2 linked regions of the Cricetulus griseus genome follow. The protein of the gene in region 1 interacts with the protein of each later gene in a biochemical or structural test. Links are inferred from orthologs where the notes say so. Each region holds a gene or a part of one and is shown on either strand. Other genes may lie near its edges. The genes, in order: Pias3 and Mitf.

Evidence for each region.
Region 2: the proteins of Pias3 (region 1) and Mitf form a complex in vitro, tested with the Homo sapiens proteins (2 studies listed by BioGRID). The link is inferred for Cricetulus griseus from reciprocal best matches to the Homo sapiens genes PIAS3 and MITF.

Annotation. Positions count from the first base shown.
Region 1 is NW_023276806.1:59,801,273-59,805,833, forward strand, and holds the start of Pias3 (E3 SUMO-protein ligase PIAS3), read right to left. Parts: upstream 2,818-4,561; 5' UTR 2,692-2,817; coding exon 2,668-2,691; intron 864-2,667; coding exon 446-863; intron 282-445; coding exon 197-281; intron 21-196; coding exon 1-20. UniProt on the Homo sapiens protein: Functions as an E3-type small ubiquitin-like modifier (SUMO) ligase, stabilizing the interaction between UBE2I and the substrate, and as a SUMO-tethering factor.
Region 2 is NC_048601.1:46,121,707-46,126,057, reverse strand, and holds the start of Mitf (microphthalmia-associated transcription factor), read left to right. Parts: upstream 1-1,525; 5' UTR 1,526-1,681; coding exon 1,682-1,785; intron 1,786-4,351. UniProt on the Homo sapiens protein: Transcription factor that acts as a master regulator of melanocyte survival and differentiation as well as melanosome biogenesis.

The sequences.
Region 1 (4,561 bases):
TGGCTCCTGGCAGAACCTCTCTGCAATAGAAAGAGAAATGTCAATTCAGAGGGTGGGGCTAGGCAGAGAGAAAGATGTCCAGGGTGCAGACAGAAGACAGGCAGAAGAACAAGAGACGATGTAGAACAGAGAAGAAAGGCAGAGGCAAAGGCAGGGGGGAAAGTCCCCACAGACAAGGCAGGGATGAGAGATGTACCTGGATGTGAGAATCTGCTGCACCTGCTGGGGAGTGAGGGCAAAGGTAAAGTGCGCTTCCTCAAACCTCTGGCTGGAGGTGGATGCTGAGGACACAAACACACAGTCATTCCCAAGCCCATGCCTGGGAAGCTACTTGCTCCCATCCCAGATTGCTGGTTCTACAACACTAAAATCTAAGAAGAAAAAAAAACCCGAGCCTGAACCAGAGTCCAGAAAGGAACTCTGAGGGACCATAGCCCAGCCATACCGAGGGTGGTGGGCCGGATGAGCTCCCCATAGACTTCGTAGAAGGGCAGCGGTTTCATGGTGACATCAGGGTGCACTGGCTGGGGCAGAGGTGGGTGCATGTCCACCTCGCGCTTAGGGCCCAGCAGGGCCCCAGGGGTTAGAAGGGAGGGAGGGATGGGAGCTGGAGGGCCAGGGGAGCCTACAGGGGAGGTGCCAGGGGGTAAGGAGAGCAGGGAAAGGTCAGAGGGCCCCAGGGCCTTCCTGGGAAAGCGCCTGCGGTAAAGTTCTTTGATCTTCATCTGGACACTGGGGGCACAGCTGGACTTGAGGAGATGCAGGGCCTTGGCCAGGAGCTCGTGTTTCCGTCCACTCTTGTTCCGGCCAGCGAAGCCAAGGAGCACCTGGAGCTCAGACACTCGGAAACTCATCACCATGTGCTAGGAGAAGAGCACAGAAATAATCCCATGCCACGTCACAAAAGCCTGTCCTGCTGATGACAGAAGCAGAACTCCTGGGGGGACAGTGCCTCTCCCCTCCACCCTCGGTGTTGGAAGGTACTTCTAAAACTAGTGCACTACCTCCAAGTAGCTGACCTGACTAGCTGAAACCACAGGGACCACTTAGCCCCATCCCCACCCCTGATCCAGACATTCCCTTAAGCTGATTATAGTCTCTCCAGGGCTCAGACTCTTAGGGTGTTCCTAGCCTCCTGGGAAAAGGATAGGACAGGAGGAGGAAGAGAAGGATTCGGGGCAGGCAGCCCCATGAGGAAGAAAAAGGCCAGGTGGCTAGAGGATTGTATACCACAGCCCGCCCCTCCCAATCACCTCAATCCATTTATTCTCCCCATATCTCTGAATTGAAGCTTCTATGGTCAGGAGTTTTAGGTCAAAGTTCAACATTTCATCATCATCATCATCTCACCACCACACACACACTTTTTATATTATATACATACCCACACTCTTTTAGTCCTGTTTTACTAGAAGGAAGCTATCAAAACTTGTAGGGGAGAAGGGTTAATCCACATGTCTAGGTAATTGACCTGATTTACTCCCTCATACATGGTATACACACCCACAGGGGTGGAAACCAGGGGCAAAGTTCTCAACAGAGATCCCAGAAAAATGATACTGATGTCCATGGACCACCGCACAGAAGTAAGCTCTTCTTTTGTTTGTTTTTGAGACAGTTTCTCTGTGTACCCCTGGCTGGTCTCGAAGTCACAGAGATCCTCCTGCCTCTGCCTCCCTAGTGCATGTGCCACCACTGCCCGGCTCAAAAGTAAGCTCTTAAAAGGTGGCTAGAACTCAAGCCTGTCTAGGACAAGGACGGAGCAAAGCCAGAAGATGGGGGAAGGAAGGTCCAAGGTTCCGAGGGATGTCCTCCTTGTAGGGCTCCCTTCTGTAAATGCCTACAAGACCTAGTCGTGGGCAGGTCATTAGCTCTCCAAGTTCTTTTCCTCTTGGGCTCCTTTTCAGGGATGTGATGAAAACCTTGTCCTTCTACCTTTCCATTCTCACCTCCTCCTATTTGTATTTTTTTTTAATTTCTCCGCTGGCTTTGTAACTTATTTTCTATCCCATGGCTCACACTCCTCCACCTCTCCCAAGACAGAGAGCCTCGTTAAGACAGTTCCCTCCCCTCAGCCATCAGGATGCTCCTGCCCCATCCCTTCAGGTACACTCCCATACAGCCCCGCCCCCTACGTCTCAGCTGCCAACTGGTACTTCCCAAGGCTCAGATGCCAACAGCAGCAGCCCGGGAGCCTCCATCCTCAGCCGCACGTCCCCGGGAGCCTGCCAACATTTGGGTGGCCTTCGGCTCCCATCCCTACGTCTCCCCTTTACTGCCGCATCTCTTGCCCCGATGGGACTCGCCCCTACGCCTCTGGAGCGGCTGTCTCTCGCCTGACGCTACCCTGCAAAACCTCCTACTAAAAGCGGCTACGGCCCACGTCCCCGCCCCCTATGCCGCGGGTGTCTCCCCCCCCCCCCCGGCGGCAGCGACAATTTTCCCCCTCCGCCCCACCCCACCCCTACATCTGCCCTGCGGGGCCCCGCCCCGGGGTTGCCGCCGCAGCCCCTTCTTCCCGCGGCCGCTGCCCGCGCATCCCTGCAGCCCGTCGTCCCTGACACGTCGCCCGCGCCCACCGCGGCCCGCGGCGCCCAGCCGGGTCGCCTCCCCGCCTCGGCGCGCGGCCGGGCGAGTCCTGACGGGGCTGGGGGAGGGGGCAGGTACCTTTAACTCGCCCAGCTCCGCCATCTTGAGACATCGCAGGCGCCCCAGCCCGAGCCGGAGCTCAGGCCCAGGGACCGGCGCAAACTCTCCGCCCCAGCGCCGGCCGCAAAGGCCGCCTGCTCCGCCCCGTCCGGCCCCCTACACCTCCCCTTCCCGGCCCCGCCCGCCGGGCTTCGGACGGCCGCCGGCCTCGCCCCTTCTTCCGCAGCCCCGCCGCCCGAGGCAAGTCTCCGGCGGCGCGGCCGGCCGGCGAGCGGCCGGCGGGCGGGCGGGCGGCGCGGTGGCCCCGCGGGGAGAGCGCGGCCCAGGGACCGCGAGGCCCTGCGGGTAACGAGGAGGGGGCGGGCCCGAAGGGACGGGCTTTTTTTTTTTGCGGGGGGGGGGGAGCCGAGGAGACTTGAAAGACGGAGGGAAAAGCATCCGGAACTGCCCTGCCGGGGCTCCACCGCGTGGGGGAGGGGCGGCGAAGTTGGAGCCCGTGTCCCGTCGTCGTCGTCCCCTCCACCACCCCCCCACCCCGAGCTGCTAAAAGTTTAGCCCGCGAAACCCCCAGAGTTCTGCCAACTCTGGGAGTGCGGCGCTCCTGCCCGGTTTAGGGGGGAGTTGGGTGAGATGGCTGTGGCCGGTCCTTCGCCTCCTCCCCCGGACACACAGCCACTCCGAGCGTAGCTCCTGCTGGCGCCACACGACGCCAGGCTCGAGCAGCCACAAAGTTGGGTGCGGGAGGCCAGACTTACCTGCAGAGTTGCGGGAGTGCGCCCCGGCGCGGAAAGGGCCCGCGCTGCTCCCGCAGGCTGTGCAGCGAGAGAGCGGTCCGGTCCCGTCCGGCAGGCAGGCAGGCAGGCAGGCAGGGGGACGCCGCAGCCGCAGCTCCGCCCGGACCAGAGCTCCTCCCGGCCGAGCGTTGCTGCTGCGGCCGCCCCCTCCGGGATAAACCCGCCAGGACCTCGGAGAGGGGAGAGGGGCGGAGCCCAGGAGCCCGGCGCGAGATGTTAACTCTTGGGAGCGCTTAGGAGAGAAGCTTTCCAAAAGTCTCGGTGACCCTGTGATCCCTTGCGGGAGTGTAAGGACTGGGTTGGGCAGGGAGGCAGGACTGTGTGCACCGGGAACCTGGTTGCTTAAAAAGGTTCTAGGATGAAATCTCCATCTGCCTAGGGGAAAGCCTAAGGCTACAAATGGAAAAATAAACAATGCAAACCCTACAGATGGCCCTCTATCACCCGACCTTCAAATGTGCTTACAGTAACTAGGTATCTCACAGTTTTGGTGTCCTTCAAAATGAACACAGGGGAGGAACACGAACAAAGGAAACATTTTTGTCCCTCATTGAAATGCCTACTCCCTCCTCCAAAGCTTTGCCCTTCCCCAGTAGGCCACGCACTCGCAGACTAGAGTAATTCATTTCTATGTTTATGAAGATAGCGACTCTAGGGCAGTGTGCCTTATATACTAGTTATTGTAAAACAAACAAAACTCCACATTTTATAGTTGTTTGGGGCCTAAGGAATATTGTCATTTGTTCAGTAAGTATTTGACAAGGGGGGGAGGTAAATATTAAACTGCTAATGAGGGATTGTTAGGTGCTGAGGGCTTAAAACCTTTCAAAAGCTCAGTCTACTTCAGAGGCAAGTTGTTATACAATGAGCATGCAAAAAATAAACAGCCCTAATAAATACTAGAAATAATCCCATTTAAGCCTTCAGTGTAATCCTTTCCATGAGCACCAACCCAAGCCACAAGCCATAGGGGGCTAACAATATTCCCAGATACCTGATAAACCACACTGGACTACCTCCGGGATTGTGTTCCTTGGGAAATGACCACCACACTGGGGGATGGGAGGGGGTGTTCCTTGCCGCCTGATGATGGTCCCCTCAAGCTAAATTGAGGCTAA
Region 2 (4,351 bases), on another chromosome or scaffold:
TCCTCAGTTCTCAACCACCCTCTCCAATTGGTAATCTTTCTGATAAGAAATTTTAAAAAGTGCTTCTTTGTGAGGCAAGAGATGGGAATGGGTAATTCCCAGGAGGTGCCCAACCACCCGTGTAGACTTCTTAGGACAATCATTTAATTTATTACTTCTGAAAGTGTAAACACAGGAAGAGATGCTAGTTTGAAAAGAATGTCTTAATCTGGGCAAAAGAAACAGCCAAAGTTAATGCTGTTCTTTGAGCAGCATTTTAATTAACGAGTTAATTAATTGATTAATTGTGTGGGTACCTGCATGTGGCTGTCAGTAGACAGCTTTCAGGAGTTAATAGTTACCTGCTTCCACGCAGGGGTCCCGGGGCATCAGTCTCAGGTTGCCATGTTTGTAGACAAGTACATTTATTTACGAGCCATCTTGCTTGCCCTGCAGTTTACCACATTGCCAGTCAATTTTTCTTAATTTGACCTTGCAACACCAACTCCAACAGGTTTCCTAATCTCTTCTTTTATAAATGAGGAAATTGAGGCTTCTGGGAGTCAAACTGATGTATCTAAGACTACACAGGATTTATTAGAAGAAATCAGGATTTCTACAATCTTAAACACCATTCTTAACACTGATGTCTCAAAGCACCTGTTTTATGTGAAATGAAGAACCCTAATGGAACTAATTAGAAGACAGGTCTACAAGTACAAATGTGTTAAAGTGCAGTCATTTAATACATTACCTAGCTCAGTGCCTTGAAGCTGCACGGGCTTGCAAAGTTAGGACAATCTCACTTGAACTCCCAGCCAGCTGAGAAATTGAAAGCAGACAGTGGCGAAGCTGTTTGGTAACTTGGTGCCTTTTAAAATGAACTGGATCCTCCAAGTGCTGCTTTGGATTAGAGGTAACTAATTGGATAAAAGGAAAGGAGCCTTTCAGCTGATGAAGAGTATTGTAAGAGCCCAGACTTGAGTGAGTTCCAGAAAAGGAACGCACAAGAACAACTTCTCCAATAATGTTCTCATTACAAAGGAGTAGTTTCCAACACTCAGTTTCAATTGAGGACAAGACGATATGTCGCTGCAGCCCGGAGAAGCTTAGGGGCAGCGGGGGGTGGGGGCGAATAGAAAGCCCTTTTATTTTAAAATGGGCTTTAACTCTGAAACTTTTCTAGTGCCAAACCCTGTAGTGTTTTATTTTTTAAATGAACCCTTGGCGTGCCCTCACAGATGTCTGAGCTGGGAGGGACAGTAGGAGACCAGGCTGAATCCGTTGTTATTAATATTAAACAGCCAGGTCTGTACCCTTGAAGCAAACGGGAGAGACGCGGAGAGGAGCTGCTGACATTGACAAGGAATCCAAACAGGACTTGCACTATCGGTACACACCACGTTGCCGCTCCCCGGCTCGGCCTTCTGGGAGTTGTAGTCTTGGAGGAAGCTGCTCTCCTATAGAGCTGGTAGGCTCTGCAGGAAGGAACTACAAATCCCAGGATGCATCGGGATCGGCCCCTCCCGCTCTGATGCCAGTGTAAACTCACCGCGCCGGGGCGGGCGGTCGGCTAGCGGGCTTAGCGGGGCACTGCGCAGGGCGCGTGGCTTGGGGGACTCAAGTGCCCCCCCCCCATCTTCGTCAGGTGCCGGGGTTCTGCTCCAAGTTCCAAGAAGTGGAAGGCGGGCAAGCGGGAGCCATGCAGTCAGAATCTGGGATTGTGGCGGATTTCGAAGTCGGGGAGGAGTTTCACGAAGAACCCAAAACCTATTACGAACTCAAAAGTCAACCTCTGAAGAGCAGGTGAGTGGTGACAGCTGGAGGGAGGCGCGGCTGGAGGCCCAGGGGCCCCGCGCTTGCTACCCTGGGACGGGAACAGCCAGTCTGAATAGCTGTGGGACAAGGACCCCGTGCCCTTGCCTTGGGGTACAGGGAGACTTGACCCCTGGCATCTGGGGTCCTGCTCTCAGAGACTTGCTCGCATCCTAGGGTGTCTGACAGACACTTCGAGGGCACCATGGCTCTCTTGGGATGGCTCATCCAGGCGCGGGGACCCTTGGCTGCACATGCCAGCTGCTGAGCTGAATGGGGGCTGGGGCTGTACCCTGCTGGCCGAGGTGGGGTAAGAGGAGCACCTGATACGGACCGTGACCTGGTGCTATACCCAGTGGCAGAGTTTTTTCTGAGGATCATAGCAGGCTGAGGGCTGGAGAGGGAGAGCTTGGAGTGGATGGAGATCCGATGCTCCAGGGAAGCAATAAACTGGCCTGGAGTATCTCCTTGTAGTTCAGCTTCTTTGGGAGAGACTGCTCCGGGTGGTACCTAGGTGAAGTTCACCGGGGCTTTTTCTGCCACCTGCCACCTGGGAGCATCTGTACCCCCCCACTCCCGGGGTGGGGGTGGGGGGCAGGCAGCGGGTGGGCGTGTCTCCCCAAGCTCTTAGGAATAGAGCTCCTGGCAAATGCAAAAAGAAGGGACAGAGGGAGACAAGGAGGGAAGGAGGGAGGGAGGACAGGAGGGAGGACCGGAGGGAGGGAGGAAGGAAAGAAGGAAGGAAAGAAAGAACGAAGAAAAGCTACTTCAGAGGCCTGTGGTGGTTGGGAATGATCTCTTTTTGGCTGCTACACAAGTTTAATTCCCCAGGCACTTCAAAAACTTTGGGACTTGAGTGAAGATGCCCTCTGGTCTGGTGCCTCCCACCTCTGTACACCTGCAACACCCTTATCCTTTGCATCATGGTCTATTGCTATTTGGCTGGCAGAATCGGTTATCTTCCCTTTTCACTCTCTTTGATCACTCTGGATCCCTAGCACTTCTTATTTGTGAGAATACAGAGAGGGGGATGGTCACTGAAATCTGTGATAGCCAAAGAAAGGCTTTATTTCCACCCCTTTCATTTGTGAGATGAGATAAGGCTGAGGTTGGAAGCATTATCACTTTGTCCATCAGTTGAGACTAGGGTCTAGGTGAGTTTCCCCTGGCAGAGGGGCAGAGAGAAAAGGAGGATGAGTCTTAACTCTGCTGGAAAGTGGAGCCAGGTTACTTTCCTTCAGGCCTGGGGCAGGACCTTGAATCCAGTTAGGCGAACAAACTCTGGGAAGAGCAGATGTCCCTGGCTGCCCTTGCTAAAGCAGGCTTTTTGCACATGCTTGTGGCAGAGTGGAAGGAAATGTGTTAGGCATTGAGATGCATTAACTTGGCCCTTCACTGGTGGCTCCTTTTATAATGGCTATTTTGTATGTGAACGTGGATTGTGTGTATTGGGTGCTCTGAGTGAGATTGTGTAAGGGGTATTGTTGGCTATGCTAGTTAGGGCTTTATCTGCATGTGGCTGAAGGGACCAGTGTTTTACTGAGCAGCCCCTGCTTTTGCTTCTATAAGCAAATGCTCACATGGCCAGAATGAGAGGGTGTGTGTGTGTGTGTGTGTGTGTGTGTGTGTGTGTGTGTGTGTGTGTGTGTGTGTGTGTTCCTGAAAGAAATGAATTAACTGGACTGTTTAGAACATTTATATGATGGGTAATACATTAAATGAGTTTGAGGGAGTGAGGAAAATATGCTTTGGAGAAAGCCAGTGAGTGCCCTGATACTTATGTGGAAGGATTTGGTTCTGTTCTTTGTCACAGTCAGGAGCTCATGTTCTTTGTAGCTAGCTAGCTAGTATGGGGAAAGAAAACTGTAGGTAAGTGGGCATAAAGAACTTCACATGTTGGTACCAGAAGCCAGGTAGGATGGAGGAGACATATGCTCTTTGAAATAAACCAGTTAAATAAAATCTGTGAGTAAGTATCTGGAGTGGGTGACATTTCCTTATACTGTTTATGACAGTTGTCCTAATGGTATTGTCATTTGCATATGTTTTGTAACCTTAAATGGGCTTCATGTGGTTCAGGGTCTTCTCCTTGTTTTTAATTTGGAGTCTTTACTGGGGCCCCCCTTAAGTCCTGGTTGGGAAAAAAGTTGTAATGAAAGTTGCAGACTCTTATAACAAGACCATTTATGTATTGTTTAGATCAGAGGTTCTCAACCTGTGGGTGTTGATGCCTTTGGGTTTGAATGACCCTCTCCAGGGGATGCATATCACAAAGCCTTCGTATCAGATAATTAAATTACAATTCATTATAATAGCAAAATTACAATTATGATGTAGCTACAAAAGTAATTTTATGTTGGGGGTCACCATGACATGATGCGCTGTATTAAAGGGTTTAATCATTTGAGAACCACTGGTCTAGAATGTTCCAAAATTCACCTATGTCTTGCCTATTTCTCTTCGGTGACACTGGCCAAGTCAGTGTCAGTCCTTGCCTGGGTTATTGAATCAATCTCTTAATTCTCTCAGCCTTGGCCACTTTTAGATTTTTAATTTA